Saccharomyces cerevisiae S288C: one gene and its partner. The gene in region 1 interacts genetically with each later gene. Each region holds a gene or a part of one and is shown on either strand. Other genes may lie near its edges.

The links.
Region 2: mutations in AIM33 (region 1) and LST4 together harm fitness more than expected from each alone (negative genetic interaction), as found in Saccharomyces cerevisiae (2 studies listed by BioGRID).

Annotation. Positions count from the first base shown.
Region 1 is NC_001145.3:93,914-103,917, reverse strand, and holds AIM33 (cytochrome-b5 reductase), read left to right. Parts: upstream 1-8,548; coding exon 8,549-9,487; downstream 9,488-10,004. Other genes in the region: YML082W (putative cystathionine gamma-synthase), read right to left, coding at 107-2,056; YML083C (uncharacterized protein), read left to right, coding at 2,868-4,124; alpha-tubulin TUB1, read left to right, coding at 4,518-4,542, 4,659-5,977; ALO1 (D-arabinono-1,4-lactone oxidase), read left to right, coding at 6,547-8,127; SCF ubiquitin ligase complex subunit UFO1, read right to left, coding at 9,677-10,004.
Region 2 is NC_001143.9:108,392-125,615, forward strand, and holds LST4 (Lst4p), read right to left. Parts: upstream 9,596-17,224; coding exon 7,109-9,595; downstream 1-7,108. Other genes in the region: ribose phosphate diphosphokinase subunit PRS1, read left to right, coding at 1-208; 60S ribosomal protein uL22 RPL17A, read left to right, coding at 878-1,186, 1,493-1,738; CCAAT displacement transcription factor COY1, read right to left, coding at 2,073-4,112; STE3 (Ste3p), read right to left, coding at 4,824-6,236; Zn(2+) transporter ZRT3, read left to right, coding at 10,402-11,913; TPO5 (Tpo5p), read right to left, coding at 11,989-13,845; U5 snRNP GTPase SNU114, read left to right, coding at 14,126-17,152. UniProt on the Saccharomyces cerevisiae protein: Involved in extracellular amino acid uptake. Required for the trafficking of the GAP1 nitrogen-regulated general amino acid permease from the Golgi to the plasma membrane.

The DNA of each region.
Region 1 (10,004 bases):
TATATAGAAATATATTCGTAATGCGTGAAAAAATTAAATATCGAAAAAAAAAACATAAAAAGTGAAATTAGAAATAAAATTCACTATGCCTATCTTCCTTCTTTTGTCATATTTCTACCGTTTTATCAATTGCCTCTTGGAAGATCTTGCCCAATATTGACTGACTTTCGAGGCCTACGCTGATTCTGAGAAGATTTCTCTCAACCCCAAATTTTTCAGCCATGTCGAGTTCGTGGTAGTATGTCATGAGCGTATAGGGGAATGCGAGTGTGAAATTTGTGCCCAAGGAAGGACCCTTGTTCAGCTTTAGATTGTCATAAAAGGCCGCAGCATGATCTTCGTCATGGAACGTTAGTGAAAAGAGCCCGCCGTATCCACCTTCTTTCTTACACCTCACCATGTCATAGTTGGTTAGTGTTTCTTTTGAGGTTAGATTAGGGTAGTAGATTTTCTTGAATAGTTTATTTTCGCCTACGTGTGGCTTCAGTATTTTATCTAAGAGGTATTCGGTGCTGTAGTTGATCCTGATGGTTCTAGCAATGAAATCTCTGGAATTTCTTTCCAGGTAAATTGCGTCTTCGCACCATAATAAATCTTCATATTCGTCTTCTAATTGCATAAAACGGGAGGCAAACTCGTATACCCGGCTTTGTGGATTTAAAACCATTGAACCACCAATGACGTTAGAGTCCCCACTAAATGTCTTCGTCAATGAACTGCAAACGATATCAGCAAACGGTAGACCGTCAATATTAACTATTCCACCCACAGTTTCATCAATGATAATGAAAAACCCAAATAATTCCGAAAGCCTTTTCAGTTCCAGTAAATTTCCCATTTTTAATAGTGGGTTTGATGGGGTCTCTATAAAAACGGCAAGAATTTGCTCCCCGGAATGTAAAATTTTTGTTAGTTCTTTCATTGAAGACTCATCTCCTTCTCCCAAGAAATACGTTTCATTAAACTCTTGCAAGACATGTAATGTATCCGCATAAGGGAACCCAAAAATCACGGTCTTCTTATTCGGAGGTGACGAGGTGACGTCGCTTCCATTTCTGGATCTATTCAAACGCAGTGAGTCCCATTGCAACAGCAATCTATGCGCAGTGAATATCGACGCCATGCCGCTCGGAAACAAAAAAACGTCTCTCTCAGGGCAAACCCTTAATGCACACCTCCCGGCATCTTCCTCTACGGATTGCTCTTCCTCTATCGTGCTCATTTCGATGGGCTCCGGGGGTATAGTGGAAACAAGGCCATTATGCGGTTCTTCTTGACTGTCTACTTCACCGCTAATCCCGCCGTCATGATCTTCTCCGTGGTTAGCCTCATTGAGGGATGAATCCAGAAACGTGTCCTGGAAGTCCTGTTCATCTTGGTTACCTGCTAAGAAATGGTAGTTTTCCTCCTCATCGTGCTCATCTTTATCTATAACCTTTGTAGCGATCCTCTTCTTAATCAATTCCTTGGCTCGATCGGCAAATGCAAAATTCAGATTCCTGCCATACCGCATCTCTATGTATTCCTTTTCCTCTGCAGGGCTGGATTTCTTTTCTACCATGAAAAGTTCATGCAAAACATATTCAGCTAGTCTGCTTGAGATGATCTCTCCGGTGTATTGCCAATACTGTTTTAATATATTCTCGTATGCCCCATCTACAAACACTACCGCAATCTTACACTCTCTTTTCCACGTCTTCTGCTCCTCGTTGATAGGTTTCGCCGTGGCTAACTGTAATATCCTTACTTTGCCATTGCGATGCGCGCACTTCCTTCTTACATACTCTCTGCACCGTTTGGCAACTCTATAAGAGGGGAAGCAAAAGCACGTTTCGTTTTCTTTAGCATACTTTTCTATTAAAATATCACGCAGCTTTTGAATCGAGGGGTGGATCCAAAACCTGGGGTAGCCAGACTTTAAACACCCTAAAACTTTGGGGTCTTTCTCCACATACGAAATTACAGATTTCCATGTCGGGAAACATACAGATACCGCATGTTGAGTGTCCAGTGGTATAGGCTGTCCTAGCTCGGTAGCCACTTGCGCTGAAACCATATTATAATGTCCTATAGAAGAAGAAAATGTCAGGAAAACTTCGCCTATAGCCCTTACTCTCTGCGTGGCCCTGCTATACTTCTTTCACTATTGAGAGGCAATTTTTTCATCAAATTTTCATTGCGAATTTTCCAGACGGCATCGCACAGGTAGTCGGGTAACACGAAGATGTGGTTTTTCAACTTGGTAAGGACTGCTATTAAAGAGGTCAGTCGATACAACGAGAGAAACTTAAACTTACACGTCTATCCTTGGCGTCCATGTTGAGCATGGTATTATCTTCACCTGCTGCCTGTCTTTAAATCGAGGGTATCCGCACCGCAGTTCGTGACCTGTGCCTGCGTTATGCGAGAGCAAAAGGGCCCTTAACGAGCCGGCACCTAAACGAAAATTTCAAGGGTTTTTTTGGCGGTGCCTAATAAGGAACGCGCAGAACAATAGACCCTGCCGGTAAACGATGGCCTTGCAGTCGTATACTGTTAAAACTGTTGAGTGGGTGAATGGCAGGGCCTAACTGCTTGCCTAGGAGTACCGCAGGAACGGTACGAATCGAGTGGAGACAGCAAACCTTGACGTGTGCTTGCTTTTAAACGGGTCGGAGAATTTACTCTTGAGCATATACGTGTGGGCATATGCATACAAATATATAAATACATTCGGGTGTATACGTAAATATATAAATATATAAAGTAACATATGTATATAAAGACGAAAGATTGAACGCCATCGTGGAGAGGGTTTTCGTATGAAGGTGCCTTAAGTCTTGTGTAGAAGTAGTTCTTTAGTTAAGATAGAACCTGGTAAAGACTCAATGGACTATTTACATGTATATAACAACAACCAGGCGCACGTTCCCAGAACACCTCCAGGCAGGCAGTGCCTATCGCCCGTTCTGCCCCCAATCATATTGGCGTTAGATCAACAACATTCGCTGACATTTGGGTACTCCAGCCCCAGGTGCTTGCCAACACCCATATTGCCTTCTATGAGCACAAATACGCCCGTCCATTGGTCACAACAGGTTGTCACTATCCCTGTCGCTGTACGAAATCATGCCGCAATGATGCCTATTATCACACCTATGACCTCCCCAAGACCTCAGTTTGAAGCAACGGCTCCCTCACCCCCTTTGGCCCCGGTCGCCATAAAGCTGCCAGATTTGAAACTACCACCGTCGCCTGTGCCCAGCACAGTAGAGGACAGAGTTTCACATCCTATCCTGCCCAAAATTGTGATCGGGAATGGCGGCGGCCGTGATGTTGAGCGAGATAGTACCGAGGAATTAATTAGGAAGATTCCAAACTACATTGGTTGTGCAAAAACAAAGGCACAATTGAGCAAAGTTAGGTCTGGTAAACAACTAATTGCATGCGCACAGGAATATCACCATCCAGTAAACAAGGACGAGATCGAAAATATCAACAACATTCTAAACTTCAGGGACTTTATTTTCAAGCATCCAAAATCCTCCTTCGAGTTCCTATGTACCCTGTCGTTTGAGCAGTTCGTTAGAGTATATTCATTCATTAGTTTCATCTACAGGACAAAGAAAATCAATAAGAACAAGTACGAACTCGTTTGTGAGATGAATGTTCACGAGCAACTCAGCAATAAGCGTATACAAAGAACAAGGACTCCTGAAAAGTACAAAATACATTTGATCTGCGAGTCAAAACTCATACTGACCTTCAACCACTGTACGAAGACAGTAAAATTTGAGTCTATCAATGGCGGGCACTGCCATCCGATTTCAGCCAACCACATTATCAAGCCCTCCCTCTTCCTTACCCACTGCATTAATAAATGCTACCAGACCGTGTCAGACCCTACCGATTTGAAATTGGCATTGAGAGACGCCTTAGAAGCCCTTGATCATGAAAGGATAGGATTGTCTTTCTTAAAGAGGAGACATTTCAAGTGCTCACACCAAGCATCATCACTCTCGAATGCCAGCGCCACATTGAAGAAACAAGAAGATCATGACACATTTGGTGTACATACAGGAATAATTCATACGGCAAATTTCTTCATGTTTAATGCATCTAGCGATATATTCCAGAGGAACTAACATATATAAATATCTGTATCCTTCTTTAAGAAAACACAATTGCATACTTTTTCCATTATAACTGACTGTTTCAGATCCTGCAATAGAAAGTATTTTTTAAGTAATGAAATAGTGCTTCCATTGATAGTAAGTGAGTAATAAGACGATCGGAAACTATTAATATAAGTATAGTTTACATATATATATATATATATGTGCCAGACGATAATATCACCGTAGTTTCCGGCCGGGTTATGCCACGCGAAAACGCCTCGAGCCAAGGGAAAAACTAAACTACAAAACAAAACAAAACAAAACAAAAACATCTACTATATCGTTTTACCCAATTCAGTATATCCGTCTACAACAGTTCTCGCCACCCAAGATCTGTAAACTTACAACTGCAAACAAACAATGAGAGAAGTTATTAGTATTAATGGTATGTTCGATTTGCCCGTCCAGGCTAGATCTTTTTTTTGTTAGTTCATTTTGGCGTTTCATCTTTCATTACTAACTTCAACGCAAAATTTTTTTTTTTTTGATTTCTCTTTACAGTCGGTCAAGCTGGTTGTCAGATTGGTAATGCCTGTTGGGAATTATATTCCCTTGAGCACGGTATTAAGCCGGATGGACATCTAGAAGATGGCCTTTCAAAGCCGAAGGGAGGAGAAGAGGGTTTCTCCACGTTTTTCCATGAAACCGGCTACGGTAAGTTCGTTCCAAGGGCTATTTACGTGGATTTAGAGCCCAACGTTATTGACGAAGTCCGTAACGGTCCTTACAAGGACTTGTTCCATCCAGAACAGTTGATCAGTGGTAAGGAGGACGCGGCTAATAATTATGCAAGAGGCCATTACACCGTTGGTAGAGAAATTTTGGGCGATGTTCTGGATAGGATTAGAAAACTGGCAGACCAATGTGATGGGTTACAAGGGTTCTTGTTTACCCATTCTCTTGGTGGTGGTACTGGTTCCGGTCTAGGGTCCTTACTGTTGGAAGAACTATCCGCTGAATACGGTAAGAAATCCAAGCTGGAATTTGCCGTATACCCTGCTCCACAAGTGTCTACTTCTGTGGTTGAGCCTTACAACACAGTTTTAACTACACATACTACATTGGAACATGCAGATTGTACTTTCATGGTCGATAATGAGGCTATTTACGACATGTGCAAAAGAAACTTGGATATCCCAAGACCAAGCTTTGCAAACTTAAACAACCTAATTGCTCAAGTGGTATCATCTGTTACAGCATCATTGAGATTCGACGGTTCATTAAATGTAGATTTGAACGAATTTCAAACCAATTTGGTTCCATATCCAAGAATTCATTTCCCCTTAGTTTCATATTCTCCAGTCTTATCCAAATCAAAGGCATTCCATGAGTCCAACTCTGTGTCAGAAATTACAAACGCTTGTTTTGAACCTGGTAACCAGATGGTCAAGTGTGATCCAAGAGATGGTAAATACATGGCTACTTGTCTGTTATACAGGGGTGATGTGGTAACAAGAGATGTTCAAAGAGCTGTCGAGCAGGTGAAAAACAAGAAGACCGTCCAATTGGTTGATTGGTGTCCAACTGGTTTCAAGATCGGTATTTGCTACGAACCTCCAACTGCCACACCAAACTCACAATTGGCCACTGTGGATAGGGCCGTCTGTATGTTGTCAAATACCACATCCATTGCTGAGGCTTGGAAGAGAATCGATAGAAAATTCGATTTAATGTATGCCAAACGTGCTTTCGTCCACTGGTATGTCGGTGAAGGTATGGAAGAAGGTGAATTCACCGAAGCTAGAGAAGATTTGGCTGCTTTAGAAAGAGATTACATCGAAGTGGGTGCCGACTCATACGCTGAGGAAGAGGAATTTTAAGGTTCACTCTCGCCCCCAACCTCCTTATCCTTTCTATATTTCAAGTATATTGTAAAAAAAAAAATTCCCCCTACTGTTATATCTCTTTGGTGATATCTTATCTATAATCTACTTATTATATTTCTCTAATATCTATGTACAAAAAATAAAAAAAAAAACCATTCTCCTTCTCTAACCTGCATTTGATGAAAGCTTAGTAAGTCTCATCGTAGTTGATGGGCCAAAGACATTTGTACTTGTTTCATCAGATTCTTACATCACCCATTTCCATGATTATTTCACGGATTTCATTAGTAATTGCATTTTTGTATCCCTAGTTCCTTTTCTCCCGCCTTGCCGTCGAATTGAAAAAAAAAATGGAAATGAGGACATCTTCCATTGATATCCAGGACAAAGCAAGAGTAGAAGTAACTATTAGCAAGGAGAATTCCAAAAATAGTGAACTTCAAGGTAAGCAGATCTATAGTTTCAATATCTGATTTTCTGCTTTTCAAAACTTAAAATTCATTAGAAGGTAAAACAAGAACCCGTAAAATTAAAGTTACCGATATTATCAGGTTTTTCACCCCATGTCTACTATCCCATTTAGAAAGAACTATGTGTTCAAAAACTGGGCCGGAATTTATTCTGCAAAACCAGAACGTTACTTCCAACCAAGTTCAATTGATGAGGTTGTCGAGTTAGTAAAGAGTGCCAGGCTAGCTGAAAAAAGCTTAGTTACTGTTGGTTCGGGCCATTCTCCTAGTAACATGTGCGTTACTGATGAATGGCTTGTTAACTTAGACAGATTGGACAAAGTACAAAAGTTTGTTGAATATCCTGAGTTACATTATGCCGATGTCACAGTTGATGCCGGTATGAGGCTTTACCAATTGAATGAATTTTTGGGTGCGAAAGGTTACTCTATCCAAAATTTAGGCTCTATCTCAGAACAAAGTGTTGCTGGCATAATCTCTACTGGTAGTCATGGTTCCTCACCTTATCACGGTTTGATTTCTTCTCAATACGTAAACTTGACTATTGTTAATGGTAAGGGCGAATTGAAGTTCTTGGATGCTGAAAACGATCCAGAAGTCTTTAAAGCTGCTTTACTTTCAGTTGGAAAAATTGGTATCATTGTCTCTGCTACTATCAGGGTTGTTCCCGGCTTCAATATTAAATCCACTCAAGAAGTGATTACTTTTGAAAACCTTTTGAAGCAATGGGATACCCTATGGACTTCATCTGAATTTATCAGAGTTTGGTGGTACCCTTATACTAGAAAATGTGTTCTATGGAGGGGTAACAAAACTACAGATGCCCAAAATGGTCCAGCCAAGTCATGGTGGGGTACCAAGCTGGGTAGATTTTTCTACGAAACTCTATTATGGATCTCTACCAAAATCTATGCGCCATTAACCCCATTTGTGGAAAAGTTCGTTTTCAACAGGCAATACGGGAAATTGGAGAAGAGCTCTACTGGTGATGTTAATGTTACCGATTCTATCAGCGGATTTAATATGGACTGTTTGTTTTCACAATTTGTTGATGAATGGGGGTGCCCTATGGATAATGGTTTGGAAGTCTTACGTTCATTGGATCATTCTATTGCGCAGGCTGCCATAAACAAAGAATTTTATGTCCACGTGCCTATGGAAGTCCGTTGCTCAAATACTACATTACCTTCTGAACCCTTGGATACTAGCAAGAGAACAAACACCAGTCCCGGTCCCGTTTATGGCAATGTGTGCCGCCCATTCCTGGATAACACACCATCCCATTGCAGATTTGCTCCGTTGGAAAATGTTACCAACAGTCAGTTGACGTTGTACATAAATGCTACCATTTATAGGCCGTTTGGCTGTAATACTCCAATTCATAAATGGTTTACCCTTTTTGAAAATACTATGATGGTAGCGGGAGGTAAGCCACATTGGGCCAAGAACTTCCTAGGCTCAACCACTCTAGCTGCTGGACCAGTGAAAAAGGATACTGATTACGATGACTTTGAAATGAGGGGGATGGCATTGAAGGTTGAAGAATGGTATGGCGAGGATTTGAAAAAGTTCCGGAAAATAAGAAAGGAGCAAGATCCCGATAATGTATTCTTGGCAAACAAACAGTGGGCTATCATAAATGGTATTATAGATCCTAGTGAGTTGTCCGACTAGTCTCTTTTTGTCTCAATAATCTCTATATTTTACTAAAAAAGAATATATATATATATATATATAGCAGTGTGATGACTGTTCATGTACATTCTAATAACTATTCCTAGCTGCCTATCAAAGACTTTTTTTTTGAATTAGAGCTTTTTAGTAATCATGGGACCCTTTTTTCTTTTCATTATCCTTACTATAGTTTTTTTTTTTTGGAAAAGCCGAACGCGGTAATGATTGGTCGTATAAGCAAAAACGAAACATCGGCATGGCGTAACGTAGATCCATCTACAGGGAAGTTTTTAGAAATCAGATAGAAATGTATTTTGAGTGCTGTATATATTGCAGTACTTTTTTTCTCTCTAGGATTTAAGTATGTTTAGTATTAACTCATATCACATTTTTTCTTTGTAAAAAGCAACCATTCGCAACAATGTCGATAGTAGAGACATGCATATCTTTTGTTTCGACAAATCCGTTTTATCCATTTTGTACTGGATTGCTTCTGAATTGTGTGGTTACACCTCTTTACTTTTGGAAAACGCAAAATGGTAGAATCGTGGTCGTTTCATTGCTGCAATTCGTAGTACTTTATGCCACAGCGTTTATTTCGATTGGAACTGATAAATCTCTTTACAGAAATAAATGGGTCGCGCTACCGCTATCCAAGAAGACCCGCATTTCTCGTAATACTAGTCTGTACTGCTTCAAGTTAAAGTACCCATTTGAAAGATTGCATATTCCCATGGGATACCACCTGGCAGTAAGGGTTACAATAAATGGTGAGCGATTAGTGAGGTACTATACGCCAGTAAATGTTCCTAATACGGAGGGTCACTTGGAATTAGTAGTCAAGACGTATAAACATGGTGTCGTTTCTAAGTATTTTGATAAATTAAAAATTCGCCAGTATGTTGAATTTAAAGGGCCGTTAGGTGAGCTGGAATATGATCAGGACACCGCAACAGAGTTGGGTATAATCGCAGGGGGGTCTGGTATAACCCCTGTATTGCAAGTGCTGCAAGAAATCATACCCTCTCCAGAAGACCTAACACACATTTCTTTGATATACGCAAACGAAACAGAGGATGACATTCTCATGAAATCGCAACTAGACCACATGGCTAAGGAGTACCCGCATTTTAAAGTTCATTATGTAATTCATAAGCCAAACGGTAAATGGAACGGTGATGTTGGGTACGTAACTCTAGAGGAAATGAAAAGATACCTACCTAAACAAGCGGAGGACCATCGTTTATTGATTTGCGGACCACCTAAAATGAATGAAATGGTTTTGAATTATGCAAAGGAGTTGGGGTGGAGTAATGGGTTTCACAAAGGTAATGGAACCGATAAAGTTTTTGTTTTTTAATCAACTGTTTACGATTGATGATTTTTCATGTAAATAAGCATTAATTATATTTAGATATATATTCGTATTTTATTAATAATTAGGAGGAATAAAGTCCGACATTTTTTTCAAAAAAAAAAAAATAATATTTCACAACGAAAAATCTATAAATAAAATATTTAACATATGCTCTTCCAAATGTACATACTTTCAATTGATTTCACTCAATGACAACGCAATGGCCAATTGTAAGTCTTCATCAACATTATTACTAGCATCAACGCCAACAGAACTACCGATAGTGTTCTCAGTTGAGGTTCGTTCGGATGACTCTGCTGCACCATATGTAGCAAAATTATCGTCGCTCAAGGGCCCATTTCGTCGACCTGTAGTATGATTTCTAAGATGTCTTCTCCTTTCGTCCTCCACTCTTGATTGTCTGATGGCTCTGAGAAACTCTTCATCATCTTCATCTATCTCATCATTCGTATTATTACCATGATTCGCAGAGCTATTCGTTTGCGTCTCATATATCAGT
Region 2 (17,224 bases), on another chromosome or scaffold:
CACTGGAGACTGTTTGGAAGAACTTGAAAAGTCCGATGCCATTGACACAATTGTGGTCACAAATACATATCCGATTTCTGGCGAACGCATAGCTGGGTCCAAGAAATTGGTTACTATCGATGTTTCTCCAATTTTCGCAGAATGTATCCGTCGTGATCATTATGGTGAGAGTATTTCCGTTTTATTTGACTCTTTGGCAGCTCTGTAAACAGAAGAGAGTGTGCGCAATATTTTAGTTCTTAAATATGACATAGATTATCAAAAAACTTTGTATGTTTGCCAGATTTCAGTGAATCTGCAAGAGTATAAATTATAGGAATTTGGGTGAATTAAACCATTTATTATGTTTTATGTATCATGGAAAAAACAGAACCTTTATCAAATCATCTATGAAATTTTGACAGGTTAGCCATTTTCCTCATTTTATTGCTCTGCAATAGTAAATTATATAGATTTATGCAATGCTCTAGGTTCCGGCGGCTTTTCATTTAATGTGAACTCAAGACTATTATCATCCAAACACATTACAACATCCGTACATTTAGTTGGCTCCATTTTTTGAAAAAATACTTCCGAGTAAGATGCTGAAAGTAATCAAATTCCGTGAAAAAGGAACCGATTTGGTAAGGGCGGACCTGCCGGAAGAAAATCGCTCCCGCGTGTCTACTGGACTTTGCTTCTTTGCCAGGCGGGAGAATGAAGCCCACCGGCCTAGCTCTATGGGCGCAGACAGGGATGGTCTCGATTTGCTTTCTCACTGCAATGGAAATTTCTAACATTAGAGCTTCAACGGCTAGCATAAAACAACTACTAACGTTTTCAGTGCTATATTCGAAAGAGCAAACAAAGAGTCCTCAAGAACTACTAATAGATTAAAATGGCTAGATACGGTGCTACTTCCACTAACCCTGCTAAATCCGCTTCTGCTCGTGGTTCCTACTTGCGTGTTTCTTTCAAGAACACCAGAGAAACTGCTCAAGCTATTAACGGTTGGGAATTGACCAAGGCTCAAAAATACTTGGAACAAGTTTTGGACCACCAAAGAGCTATTCCTTTCAGAAGATTTAACTCTTCCATCGGTAGAACTGCTCAAGGTAAGGAATTTGGTGTCACCAAGGCTAGATGGCCAGCTAAGTCTGTTAAGTTCGTTCAAGGTTTGTTGCAAAACGCCGCTGCCAACGCTGAAGTATGTCAAGAATATTATATGTTTAGTACCAGATGAAACAAGAATGAGTTGAAATTCAAAATGCGCGGAAAATCCATTATGATCAAGGGAAATTGAATATGATAAATGAATTATTCAGAAAGTCACAATTACCAGATTGGAATGAACTGTCAAGCTGAAAAGCAACTAAGGATTACCATTACGTGTTTATGATTTTGTTAGAAAAATATTGAAAACTTGATATTTCTTTCCGCTAGTTTCATCTTTTTCAATTACTTAACCGGATCAAAATTTTTTTTACTAACAACATAACTATTTTTATTACAGGCTAAAGGTTTGGATGCTACTAAATTGTACGTTTCTCATATCCAAGTTAACCAAGCTCCAAAGCAAAGAAGAAGAACTTACAGAGCTCACGGTAGAATCAACAAGTACGAATCTTCTCCATCCCACATTGAATTAGTTGTCACTGAAAAGGAAGAAGCTGTCGCCAAGGCTGCTGAAAAGAAGGTCGTTAGATTGACTTCTAGACAAAGAGGTAGAATCGCCGCCCAAAAGCGTATTGCTGCTTAAATAGAAGATGAAAAATAATGATAATATAATTCTCTGTTAATTTTAATCTTTTATCTATGTAATTTTATCTCCCCGTCATATCACATAACTCTAAAATAAGTTTTTTATTAATATTATTATATTATATCGGATAATCCTACGTTCAAAGTATTGAACATAGTTTTATAATGAACAAAGGTATAAGAAATGCTCATAAACTGAAAAAATCCCGTAGATAAGATAATAAGAAATGCTACTGTCTATATCAATATGTCAATCGTTACTCATTCCCTCTCTAGTACGGAACGTGTGCGTTCTTCATACCGAGCTATTAGAATTTAGTGAATAAAGGCATCTATCGATTTATGCCATGAACTGAACCAACGCCTGCAGCTACTTTTTCTGCTCCCCCAAGTCCTCCGTTGAGATTTGAAGAAGACTTTGCCGATTGTACTATACCAACCTCAGGTGTCATGTAGCCGCTAATATTAATCACATACATGCTCATCATGAATACGAGTCCGTGTAAACCGATACAGTAAAAGAGGAATACCATCCTTGTCATTTTATTTTGTAAAATGACTTTTGCAAAACTGGAAAATAACTTCTCTAAAGCTGATAATTTCTTGTTTTTGTAGTGGTTTAATTCGTTCTGTCTAAAATTTGCCATTGGATGCAACGATTCATCATACACCCTTGAGTATTGGGATTCCACGTCAATACGCTCTGTACTTTGATTAACGGGAGCGTTGTTATTATTATAGGATTGCAGATACCTAATCCGTTCATAAAGCTTCGTATTGTCGCCTTTTAGCTTCGAAATTTCTAGTTTAAGCTTACCCTTTTCTGAGTTTCCTTGTCTTAGTTGCTTTTCCAGATCCATATTTCTCGAACGAAATCTGTCTCTTTGTTTAGTAACTATTGGTAAAATGGTTGATTGGTTTCCAGAAAGTTCCCCATCTTCTGGAATACCAATAATAGAACTCGTTGGGGACATTTTATGGGACGTACGATTGTTCATTTGTCTTGTTACACCAGACATCATACTTGCAGTCTCGTTGAAGTGAGGACTGACGTTCTCTACTTTTTCTAGGTCCGTCTCTAATTTTTCATTTGCTTCTTTGAGAGTAGCTATTTGCTGCTTCAATTGGTCCACAGATTTTTTCAATTCGTTTCGTTCTTCCTCTTGAGCCGTACTTTTTGAGCGGTATTCCGCCAAAGTAGCCTGGAGCTTCTTATTTGCAGATAGTAAGGAACTTTCGAAAGTATTATCATTCTTGTCTTCAGAGCGAATGTCATTATCAGAATCATCTTCGTTTACCCCAAACTCAATTTTTTTCAATGCAGAAAGTTCTTCTTTTATCTTATTGTAATCAGAATAATTGTTTAGTTTTCTTCTAACAGTTTCTAGCTCCGACTTGTAAGATTCCGATTCCGCCACAACGCTATTTAATTGTTCTTTTAACTCATTTATTGCATGTGATGTTGATTTCCGTTCCTGCTCATAGGATGCACTCAACAATGCATTTTCGCTTTCCAGCTGGTTAAGTTTTAGTTCCTTTGCATGTAACTCAGTTTCTTTTTCTGCTTCACTAGTTGCCTTTGCAAGAGCACCACTTAGTTCCTCATTTCTTTTCTCTAACTGATATATTCTAGCCTGCGTAGTTTCCAACTCCTGTGTTACTAGATTATATTCAGCAATCCTTGTAGATACTTCTTTTTGATTGTTTTCTTGGTCACCATCTTCGTTTCCATTACCTTCTATATCTATATTTTTAGATATTTTGGCCTCTAGTGCCTTGTTTTGCTCCTGTACATTTGTTAATTGTTTCAATAGATCTGCTTCTCTCTCTTTCCAATTTCTTCCTTTTTCCTCCCAGGTAGAATTGATTTCTTGAGTTTTCGCAGTCAGTCTTTTTGCCAATGTTTTTGCAGAGCTTTGCTCTAGGTCCAGTAACCTTGATTTCAAAGTCTCATAATCTGCATATTTGGCTAGCTTATCTTCTAGGTAGCTTATTTTTTCCTTAAGTTCCTTCGAGTCATCAATTTTGCCCAATTTTTCCAACGAACTTTGTAGTAGCGGCTGTGGATCAGGAGCCTCTGAAAGCTTTTCGTATACGTCAAAAAGAACCTTTTCAGAGAATTTTGATCTCTGTGTCAAATTATCAATTTCACGTTGGTACTGCTTAATTATTTTATTCACATTGTTCAATTTTTCCTCAGGTTCGAGTTTTTTAAATTTTTTAGTCTCAGTGGCTAATGACTTTCTTGAATTCAAGGACAGGGTTTCTTTATCCTTAATCTCTATAACATCAGCATCCAATTCTCTTTGAAGATTCGTTAAATCTGCCTTGGCCCAAATATCCAATGCATGAGAATATACTGACGTATCCATTGTCAAATTATTTTTGACGAGCTAATATAACAGAGTGAAGAAATGAAGCAATTACGCACAATTTATTGTACTGTGTTCATTCAAAACTCTTAAACATATTATTTTGGCATTTTCATGAGCCCCAAGATAATATCATTTGTTACGTAACATTCTCTATGACAGTAATGGTTTTCTTGAATGACACAAGTAACCACTACAACTTGGTGTGCAGAATAGTGATAGAGCGAACTGAAATTGTGGGTACCTAAATATTCTTTGATTATGAGCGGAGATATGATGCTCTTTCATGTTTTCCTGGCCTGAATTTTGGTATGCTCCTAAAAAAATGGCCAATTAAGTGATCGTGCCAATTCTCTCGTTTATTAAAGACTGTTCTGCTAATCGACTTTTGGAGCAAAAGCTTACTTTTGTTTCGAGCTTAAAAAATTTTTCTTGTGTGGAACTTGTATCAATTTCTCCTTATATTTATATATAATACAGACGTTATTGCTTTTCTATAGAAAAAAATAGAAACCAAAGTAGCAAAAAAGCAGTAAATATTAAAGTAAAGTTTACACACAATTCGTCATTTTTACCGCTAAGCCACATATTAGCTGATGAGCTCATCGTTACATTATTTGAGCCACAATTCACTAAAAAGCAGTATTTCAATCCTAGTCCTGTAAAAATAAAATACTCCTAGTCCAGTAAATATAATGCGACACTCTTGTGTTAAGGGCCTGCAGTATTTTCTGAACTATGTTCGTTTGAGCTTGAATTCTCTTCTTTTGAAGCTGGAGAGTAGCAAAGACTTTCCCCTTCAAAATTGGAGCTTGCAGAATTATGAAGCTTTTCTGAATAATCGAGAGTAACTTTTGAGAATCCTCCAAGTGATATTTCGTCGTCAAAGCTCTGTCCTTGCGTGACGTAAGGGATGTGCCTACTTTCTTTTAGGTCTATTTCATCAAGAATATCATCTGTTTCTTTATCAGCAAACAAATATTTTTTGCTTTTATTTTGAGATTTTCTAGGATCATCTGGAATCCTATAGTCGACATAGAAATGCGCTTGTGATATTGGTGTACCTACACAGGGAGAATAGTTTTCTGTACACGTGGAGATATAGTTCTCAGAGTCTGTAGAAAATGGGTTACGGCTCTCTTTGCGTGAGGACAGCTTGTTTAGCAATATGCCTACTCGTTTTTCCTTATTCTTATCAATGAATCTTTTCCACATGTCAAGTACAAATCCTAGTTTGATGGAACGCAGGAATTTAGAGTACATATGCAAAGCATCAGAACCTAAGCCAAAGATTAGAAATACTAGGTAAGACATCAAAACATAAAGCCATATATTATAAATTGGTCTGCCAGGGTCAAATTTAATAATGGTATTCCAGATGGTGCTGGAATGGGTATTTTTAAAAGTATAGTGTCCTTCTACCTGCTGTAAATCTTGAACAAAGGTGTAAACAGAAAAAGGGAACATGACTAAAATAATAATGAAACAGAATATCAACAGCCTTGCGAACCTTGTCAGGTTTAAACCTGAATTGGTACAGTGTAAAATATCCCTAACGTCCTTGCGTTTTTTATAAAACACGAACAGTACTAAGGTGGCATAAACAGCGCCCACAAATGACCATATAAGCATCCACATGGTATACAAAACAGTGGTAATCCATGTCGGAGACAATAAGTTTTGGCAACCGTTGTAACGAGCGATACCATATCTAAATACTTGTAACAGATATGAAAATCCCATGACCATGACAGGTGTGAACAAGCTAATCACAAGGTCCTTGACGATTTTCGTCCATGATGAAAGATCCGGTAAAACACTATCTGCCTTCAAAATTGTATGCAAGTTGTAAATGATGTTGGTAACGGCACATGATATGCCAATATTCGCACCAACCTGCAACTTGATGACAATATCACACCAACCTTTACCATCCCATCTCGTGAGGAAATCGTCGTCACTCCATATTGCCGCATCTACAATACACGTTAAATTCATTGTAAGAAGCCATGTTATCAAAATGATTGCTGGAATATTCTTGGTATGTGAATGCCATGCTAAAGGGGGAGCTAATAGTATCACAGCTAGCAAACAAAGCCCTATTATTGCTGACTTGTATGACATGAAAATTTTGATAGTATTTTGCCTTTCCTACACAAATTTAATTGCCTCTAAAGTTAAAAAGCAATAAAATAGAATATGTGAATACTGCACAAAATGAATACTTGGGAATTCAGAAATTATTCTTACCTTAAGCATCCACTCATATACATATATATATATATATATGTCTTTTCAAAAGACTTCTGCCCAAATTGTGGAGAGAACTCTGCCTCTCCGTGATAACGGCCAAATGAAACGCATCCAATGATGCAATTATTGACAAAGTTTCAAAGTTTCCGCCATTATTCCTTCATTTACACATTGATAGTCGAGAAGTTTCCTAATTAGTGTCACAATGACAGAGAAAATTGTACCAGCGCTTCTAACGAAAATTAGCACCCATACCCAGAGTTCATAAATCTGGCAATGTGGTACAATAATATAGGATTGGTAACATTTCAATTGTAAAATGTTTAACGTTTAGAGAAAAGGGGAGCCAGAACGCTTCTGGTGGTGTAAATACGGAGAAGTCACCTTAAATAGTTTTGTTCTGATAATTGCATTTTTTTGGAAAGATTTGGCTGCTTAAAAGATTCAAGCAATCAAGAGAAACATTACAAGGCCTGCTTGGCCGGTCTACTAGGCTGAAATAATAAGTTTCTGATTATGGTTATCACGGTAAATGATTACGAAAGGGTAAAGCAACGAATGGTTGTTTTATGGTAAGAATACTTTGGCGAATCAACAAATTGAAGTTGCGCAATGTGCGATTCGCTTATGTATCAAAAAAAACTAAAAAATGAATAGAGAAAATCATATATATAAAAGAAAAAAATATCGTACACCTCTTAGGTAACTTGGAATATATTAAACATGTAAAGAAGGAGAAAACATTAACCTGCATTACAATAATGAACAAGAGATGAAAAAATCCGTAAAGCTTCTGAATCGCGAAGCTCACTATCTATTCCATTATCATCATATAACATCATTGCACTCTTTATACTATTTTCAACAAAATTAACGCAGTTTTCCAAACTAGTACTTAGCTTGCCAATCTTGCCACAGGAAAAGATTTTTCTGGTCTTCTGTTTCAACACGTACTTCCTTTTTCCGACAAAATTCTCATCATAGATATTCTGGTTGCTGTTATTGTTGTTATTGCCAGTAAACTCTCTTTTCAATGCGACATCCCTAATGTCCCTTGAACGTAACGATACTAATAGACTTCTTGTGTAATCCGCCTTTAACAGGTCAATCTTCATAGAATTTGTTATTCTGCTCTCTGATTCTTGACCAGCAGGACATGCTTGCAACTGGAAAAAATTGTTAAAATGGGTTAAATACATTGTATATTTCGGCAATAGTTCCAGAGGTTTATTCATCAAGCCATCATCAATATCAGAATCAGTAGTCAAAATATCCGCATAAGAAGAGTTACCTGGAAAAATTTCGTAAGTGGAATTAAGGTCAGCCAAAGAGGGCTGACATATTCTTTCAAAAGCCTCATCCAAAAGATCATCCTGAGAGATCCTTTGGCAATCTCTTTTCAACTCAACGTTCTTTAGTGGAAATTTATATGATATATTCTTAACCAATGGGGGTGCGTGAGACACATCTCCAACATTAGGAGAGCCAGGTGTGCCCATCCAAGGATACTCATCATATTCGCTGATAGACGGTGATTGTTGCGGAGTGGTTAGTGATAACCTGGAGGTTGCTTGCTGCAAAGAAGACGAACTTGAAGTCCTTTGCATATTTCCAGCAGTTGTTTGCAGCCTCTCCCACGACTCGTTGTGTTTTAAAGAAGGGCTTGGTTGAAAGAACTGAGAAATTGTTGGCCTTTTGTTGAACCAAGAACCGTACGAACCAGGTTGGCTTGAGATAGAAGACGATAGATAATGCAATGAACTACTCCCACTTTTGAAGGAAGATGGCTGAATAACTTCCGCTAAAGACTCACTAGAAGACACAGATACTGAAGTGTTCGAGTTCCTCCGATTGGGTATTTGCCATCCTTTCCTCAAAGAATGGAAATTGGGTGATCCAATGCTGTTAGAGCTCACATTACTGTTGTTGTAATTATGATTGCTATTATTTTCTGTGCGACTCAAAAGGTTGTCTGTTGAAGTCAGTGTGCTCAATTCCGTCTCAGGCTTATCGACAAAATTATTGTTAGACTTATTTCTTGATACAGCGGACGAATCCGATCTTATGTTTTCCCGCCGTATCGTTATTTGTCCCTTGTACTTTGGCTCCAATAAAGCCGATAAGATGAACAGTAACTTGTTAGCAACCACCATGTTTCCTGACAGGATTACGATCTTGGATGTCTTTAGTTCTCTTATAGTGTGCCTGTAATCAGATATAATCATTGCCATTAGGAGAGGAAGGAAGCCTAGTTTCGGTCCATCTTTGATTTCAATCCAATTAAATATACTTTTGAACCAAACGTGAACGAATTCTTTAAATGTCTCAGGGTAAAGGAAAAGCCTAGGAATCTCAGACATAGAACGTAAACCTGGTATGACTCTTTTTTGTAAAGTTTGCACCATTATTTCAATTTCCTTGGGATAATGCGTCCTGATGTCAATATTTGACAATTTTATGACTGAATTATTGCTGTAATTGCCAGTATTTTCTTGCATAATACGGTTTTTAGTCAAGAAACCAATGAGCATTTTTTGAGTCTGGGTCAACCATGATGAAATGGAAGACCACGACTCTGCAACTACGGGCAACAATATCCTCGGTATGCATAAGCTAATTGCGATGCGGTTGTATTGGTGTGTGTAATAGAAAATTCTAGTTATGAGTACCAAATCCGAGTTAGGAATCGTCCTTATCTTGTCGCACTGCGTCAAATCGGAAGATCTTACGGGAGAACCAAATATATATTCCTTCAATTCACTCGGCCGTATCTGCTCCATCGAATTTGAAATCTTTGACGTAGTGTAATCGAAGATATCACGGTAGTTGTTCCTACACGCCATTTGACCCGCTTCCTCAATGATCAAAATCCTGAATGCATACGTTTTTTCGTTAATAGACGTGATTTTATCAGTACCAAGACCTCCGTTGTTTTGTAACGTATCGATAGGACGACTATAAGGAATATCCCTCGAGCCGAAAAGCTTCAGTTTTAAGTCATCCGATATATGATCTAAAATGGGCGGAGAAGTCGTTGATAGCATTTCCGAAGGCTTTTCCACATTGACTGCAGTATCTAAAAGAGCTCCAGCAGCGGTCTTAGTAGTTCCTGTGCTTGCCGCTTTGCAGTATACAGGGACATTGGGAACTACGGAGGAAAAATCGGAATGCTCTGAGCTCTTCTCAAAACCAGACGAACTCGTCTTATTTCTCAGTAAATTACCCAACATATAAACTCTCCCTCTTCACCTTCTCTACAAGGCCACACACAAGACAGTTTTAACAGGCAAATGGTACTGGAGGCTCTCACCAATGGGGTTTAAGACGCTCCAAACACACGCTCTCCTTTTTTTCTTTATATATCGGTAGCAACGAAAGCTAGTCGCAGAACGTTACACACTAAAGCAGATCAATCAATCAATCCTGAGAACCTGCTTCGTTCAAACCATCCACTAGAAGAAACACGCACGTGTACCCAAAAATAGAGACAAACAAACAGACAAAAATAACAATGATTCCTACCGACTAAAGTAAAACAACACTCACGTAATAAAAAATCCTAGATACAACTCACTTGTATTCCTCTCTTCTTTGACCATCACTAAAGCTTCTCTCTTACTATATTCCTCAAATAAAAAAAAGTTGCAATGATTACTTACCAATGTGCCATAAACTCCGTGCACCACACTAGCCTTCGATTTGACACATCTCTAAGCTGAAACTGAGAATACTGTTGTAAAACAGGTATTGGCTGCTTCATAGTACACCCAATTGCCCACAACCCAAGTTAATCATAAGCTCTTGTTGTCGATGAATTGCTCAAAATGTGGCCATTCTTTCAATTTTGCACCTCTAAAACTGCTCCGTGGGTTGTGACAACAACCTTAAGGGTAATGGACTTTTTTAGAAAGACAAATGAGATGATTTCACCTACTGGTATATCATTTATTTATACACGACCGTTTTGACATTTCAGAGTTGCACGTTGGTATATCCTAATATTCTCACAAGCATCACAGTGAAGAAACGCAAGAAAATGGAAAAAATTCCCAGGTGGTTGTTGTTTTCTCTTATATCGTCGGTGCTGTGCATACTTGGGGCCCTGTGTGTGCCGTTGTTATCGGTTGCCTTCGATAGCAAGCGCAATAGCCAATCTAAGTTGGTCAACTATGGTCTTTCTCTAAGTGCCGGATCTATGATCACTACTTCACTATACATGCTATTGCCTCGGATCGAAAAATCAAACCGGTTCAAGGTTTTTCCTGGATTGCTTTTGGGTATTTGCCTCAGTTTTTTCTTAAACTACCTAGTCCACGCTTTCGCCAGCGAATCGTTGGTACACTGTGCTGATAGCGGTGACCATGCTACAGGTTCACATATACACTCCAAATCACATTCGCATTCGCACTCACACTCACATGCGGATTCGCATTCGAATTTTAGCAACGATCATGATTTAGAAAATGCTCCCTCTGAGCATGGTTATGCAACATCTTCTTCCAGTGTTTCTGAAAATGACCCGTTGATTACAAAGGATAGCGATAGACCCCAAATGAAAAAGAAAATGTCCCTAATTGACTTATTAACCAGAAGGAAATCAGAAGGCGAGTGTTGTGACCTAAACAAGTGCACTCCGCTCTTGCAATCAGAGCAGCCAGAATATATTGCATGTGTCCCACCAGTGATAAAGTCTTCTCAAAGTGAAAGAAACGTGCCACATGGATGCGAGGGATCAGAAGATAATGGACAATCCGATGACAAGGATCATCGTGGCCTTGTATGCGTGGAAAATAATATCGGTTACGATCTTGAAAACCTATCGTTGTACCGTAAGAATTTTCTTTCGAGCCGCCATCATCATTCCTCTGAATCGCCCGAAAATTATGGTTCCAACCAGTTGTCGCACTCTTTTTCGTCACCTTTGGGAAATGATGTAACTGAGAATCCGGCCGCATTGGCAGACACACAATACCATCCCGAAAATGGTTCATTATACCCCCACCATCATCACTTAGAGACCCCTTTTTCCAAATTACTGTCTATTGGTATGCAAACTTGTCTAGTCCTTGCATTACACAAATTTCCCGAAGGGTTTATTATTTTTTACACTAACAGGTCAGATTCGTCAAAGTCCTTGGGATTTTCCATTTTTTTAAGTTTGACGATCCATAATTTTGTCGAAGGATTTGCAATGACGTTACCATTCTACACTGTTTTCGAATCTAAATGGGTTGCCATTTTGATTACTGCCGTTCTCGGTGGTGGATCTCAACCATTAGGTGCATTGATAGGTTATTTCATCTTTAAAGGTAGTACTCCAAGGGATCACGAACCCAACATGGATTTTTTACTGAGCGTTACTGCAGGGTTCCTATTAGTAATTGGTTTACAAATGTTCCAAACTGGTATCGGATTTAGCGATGGACATCATCATCATCAAGGAGAAGGTGATGAAGAAATGAAACAGTCCCATAGCTCAGGCACAACTTGCTTGAAATGGTGCTGCACTGGCGTTTTGCTAATTCTAGCGAGTGCCCTTTTCACTTGATAAATTAAAACTACGTATATTCTTTCTATATAAGTCTTTTCCCATTAAATAACGGTGTATAATCACGATCATATATCATATATCATATCTACGATCATCGGCAAGATCAAATTCTTGTTCTGCTGTATGGTGCTCATCACCATAATCGGTTATCACGTTTTCCTCATTTTCCTCAAAGGGATTTTCTGTACTACTTTTAGGATGCACCTTGATGAAACCTTCTTCAGAATTATTTTCTACAGACTCTTTCACTGTGGTTCCCGAGTTTAGAGTATGTTCAACATTGCTATCCTCTAGTTCAAAAACAGTTTCTTCCGCATCACTGGGAATTGGAGCCTTGATGTCATCTGCCAAGGGTAATCTAAAATTATACTTCCCCCATTTGAAATAAAGACCAGTGATAACTAAAATGCAGAATACGTACACCATTAAAGCATAATTCATTGTTTTGAAAGTTACAGGCACTTGCGTTGGTAGGCAAACAGAAACCATAGATAACAAGAGCCACACAATAGAAACAATGTTGATGAACCAACCAAACTTATACCTGATTTTTACTGGCGCGCTTCGGATAGCTCTTCTTCTCGTAAACAGCACCAAGACTAACGGAATGAAAGTCGCAGAACAAAGACAGAGCACTGCAGCGCCTATAAAAGCATTAAATGCGGCCGTTGAAATCAAAGCTAGCAGACCTAAAAAGTATGATATTATCATACTCAATACAACAGAATTCTTGGGGACTTTTGACTGAGAATCCGGTTCGACGTAGGTCCATTTATCGTAGTATGGTATAGCCTGGTCACGACTAAAACTATATACCGCACGAGAAGATGTAGTAATCGAGCCAATTCCGGAAAACAGTAAGTTTCCTAAAATTAGGAGCACTAAAAAAAAAGACAAGACCACCGAATCAGTCGATTTTGTAAAAATGTTCACTATTGGTAGAACCTTATGATTGGTAAAAAGCAAATCATTATCTGGCAGGATTAACATTATTGGTATAAGAAAAATGACTCCAGAGAACGCGGATAACAATACCGCATTCGACATACCACGTGGAATATCCTTCTCAGGAACTTTGACTTCGTCAGCTAAAGCAGGTAACATACTGAAACCTTGTAACGTGAAATTAGACTGTTGGAATCCAATGATGAAGGAAAGAAATGCGCTTTTATACCCTGATAGATTATTATCAAAGTGAAATAGCGCGTACTTCAAAGATCGAAATTTACCTTTGTGGAATACTAGTAGAAGAATATCAATAAATATAATGGCATATATGATCCAATAAACACAGACTTTGTTTATTGTTTCAATAAATCTTGCAAATTTCAAATTCACGAGGCCTACAACAGTCACAACTAAGTAAAATACAATGACTGTGTAAAAAATCAAGTGTGCCTCGGATATTAGGTTGGAGTTCGTCATCAGAATCAAAGAAATGGTAAGTTGAGCGCCTGCAAAAGTAATACTGGTACTCATAGTCCAATTCCCTATGAGCATTAACCAGCCAGTGTACCACGAACATACTAATTTCAATTTCTCCGGGGCCAACATGGCACTCCCAACATGCAGTTCCATCGGAAATTTTGAAACAATCTCACCAAGAGAAAGCGACGAAAACCATATACACACTCCACTGATTAAAAAACCTAGCATTATAGTTAACGGACCACCATTAATTAGCCCAATGGCCATACTAGTGCACATTCCTAAAACGGGACTCATTAGTCCTAAACCGAGACCGACAATAGAACCTCTTGACAATAACGATTTATCCAACACCTGATCATAATTGAAATGCTCGGCCTCCTCGTTCTCTTGACTGTCATCTTCATGAACAATGGTGTGCAAGTTATCAAACAAACCATTCGGATCGAAATGAACGATATTCTCCCTTATATTATCAGCCAGTAGCGTATACTCTGGCATTTTTCATTTATTTGACTTATTTTTATTTATTTTATTGTACAATGGCAAACAAATACACGGACTGGTATGTTCTTCGTCAAATTGATGATCTGTTCTTTTGGCTTATCCTTATGGGATGATTAATGATTGTTAAAGCCTCATTGCGGAAATTTTAATGCCGGAAAGGCCTGAAAAATTTCAAAGTGGCAGAAAACAAGGCTTTGGGGCATTACTTGCCAACGGCTGACGATTGCTAGCTGCTTTTACAGAAGCGATACACAATAGCTCCTAACATAGCAAAATGGAAGGTGACGATTTATTCGATGAGTTTGGAAATTTGATCGGAGTTGATCCTTTTGACTCGGATGAAGAAGAAAGTGTGCTGGATGAGCAAGAACAATATCAAACCAATACGTTTGAGGGGAGCGGCAACAACAATGAGATTGAGAGCAGACAACTTACCTCGTTAGGAAGTAAAAAGGAACTTGGAATTTCCTTAGAGCACCCTTATGGTAAGGAAGTGGAAGTATTAATGGAAACTAAGAACACACAGTCACCACAGACTCCACTGGTAGAGCCGGTTACAGAACGAACAAAGTTGCAAGAGCATACAATTTTTACACAATTAAAAAAAAACATTCCGAAGACTAGATATAATCGAGACTATATGTTATCAATGGCTAACATTCCGGAGAGGATAATAAATGTTGGTGTCATTGGACCTCTTCACTCAGGTAAGACCTCTTTGATGGATCTCCTAGTAATCGACTCACACAAACGCATACCAGATATGTCTAAGAATGTAGAACTTGGATGGAAACCGCTAAGATACCTGGATAATTTGAAACAAGAGATTGACCGGGGTCTTTCCATTAAACTTAATGGTTCCACTCTACTCTGCACCGATTTAGAATCCAAGTCTAGAATGATAAACTTTTTGGATGCACCAGGGCATGTTAATTTTATGGATGAAACGGCAGTCGCACTTGCAGCAAGTGATTTGGTTTTAATCGTGATAGATGTTGTAGAAGGTGTTACATTTGTGGTAGAGCAATTGATAAAACAAAGTATTAAAAATAATGTAGCAATGTGTTTTGTTATAAATAAACTCGACAGATTGATTCTAGATTTAAAGTTGCCACCAATGGACGCATACTTGAAGTTAAATCATATAATTGCAAATATCAATTCCTTTACGAAGGGAAACGTGTTTTCACCAATAGACAATAACATAATATTTGCGTCTACAAAGCTGGGCTTCACATTCACTATCAAGGAATTTGTTTCTTATTATTACGCCCACTCCATACCTTCTTCTAAGATAGACGACTTTACCACAAGGCTATGGGGTAGCGTATATTACCATAAAGGTAATTTCAGGACAAAACCATTTGAAAATGTAGAGAAGTACCCGACTTTCGTTGAATTTATCCTCATCCCGCTTTATAAAATATTTTCCTACGCTTTATCTATGGAGAAAGATAAATTAAAGAATTTGTTAAGGTCTAACTTTAGAGTTAATTTAAGTCAAGAGGCCCTCCAGTACGATCCGCAACCTTTTTTAAAACACGTTCTACAGTTAATATTTAGGCAACAAACCGGTCTTGTAGATGCGATAACCAGATGTTATCAACCATTTGAATTATTCGACAATAAGACAGCTCATCTTTCAATTCCAGGAAAATCTACACCAGAAGGCACTCTTTGGGCTCATGTACTGAAAACTGTGGATTACGGTGGAGCAGAGTGGTCCCTTGTACGGATATACTCTGGACTTTTGAAGAGAGGGGATACAGTACGTATACTTGATACATCACAATCTGAATCTCGCCAAAAAAGACAGTTGCATGATATCTCAAAGACGGAAACCTCCAACGAAGATGAAGATGAAGATGACGAAACGCCTTCATGTGAGGTCGAAGAAATTGGCTTATTAGGTGGCAGATATGTCTATCCGGTTCATGAAGCACACAAAGGACAGATAGTATTAATAAAAGGTATTTCAAGTGCATATATTAAATCCGCGACGTTGTACTCTGTAAAGAGTAAGGAGGACATGAAACAGCTAAAATTTTTCAAACCTTTAGATTATATTACCGAGGCAGTTTTCAAAATTGTTCTTCAACCTTTACTGCCAAGGGAATTACCCAAGTTATTGGATGCCCTGAACAAAATTTCGAAATACTACCCAGGCGTTATTATTAAAGTTGAGGAATCTGGAGAACATGTAATACTAGGAAATGGAGAGCTGTATATGGACTGTTTGTTGTATGATCTAAGAGCGAGTTATGCAAAGATAGAAATTAAAATATCTGATCCTTTAACTGTTTTTTCTGAAAGTTGCTCAAATGAATCGTTCGCTTCAATACCTGTAAGTAATTCGATATCTCGCCTTGGTGAGGAAAATTTACCAGGTCTGTCGATTAGTGTAGCCGCTGAACCAATGGACTCTAAAATGATTCAGGATTTGAGCAGGAACACATTGGGAAAGGGTCAAAACTGCTTGGATATTGACGGAATAATGGACAACCCAAGGAAACTATCCAAAATATTGAGAACCGAGTATGGGTGGGATTCGTTGGCATCAAGAAACGTTTGGTCTTTTTATAATGGCAACGTGTTGATTAATGACACTTTGCCAGATGAAATCAGTCCTGAATTATTATCCAAATATAAGGAACAAATAATACAAGGATTTTACTGGGCTGTAAAAGAGGGGCCTTTGGCAGAAGAACCAATTTATGGTGTACAGTATAAATTGTTATCGATCTCAGTACCTTCCGACGTAAACATTGACGTTATGAAAAGTCAAATTATTCCGCTAATGAAAAAAGCCTGTTACGTTGGCTTACTGACAGCAATCCCAATTTTATTGGAACCCATCTATGAAGTTGACATCACGGTCCACGCCCCCTTGCTGCCAATAGTAGAGGAACTTATGAAGAAGAGACGTGGAAGCAGGATATACAAAACAATAAAAGTGGCAGGGACACCATTGTTGGAGGTTCGTGGACAAGTTCCGGTTATTGAATCTGCAGGATTCGAGACAGATTTGAGATTATCTACGAATGGTCTTGGTATGTGTCAGCTGTACTTTTGGCACAAGATATGGAGGAAGGTTCCTGGTGATGTTTTGGATAAAGATGCGTTTATTCCAAAATTGAAACCCGCACCTATCAACAGTTTAAGTCGTGATTTCGTGATGAAAACAAGAAGGCGGAAGGGTATTTCTACAGGTGGATTTATGTCAAATGATGGTCCTACGCTTGAAAAGTATATAAGCGCTGAATTATACGCTCAATTAAGAGAAAATGGCTTAGTACCGTGAAAATCTTGGCGCATAAGAATTAAGCAATATGTCCACAATATTTTTATTCAGCAGAATTTACATATGACTTCG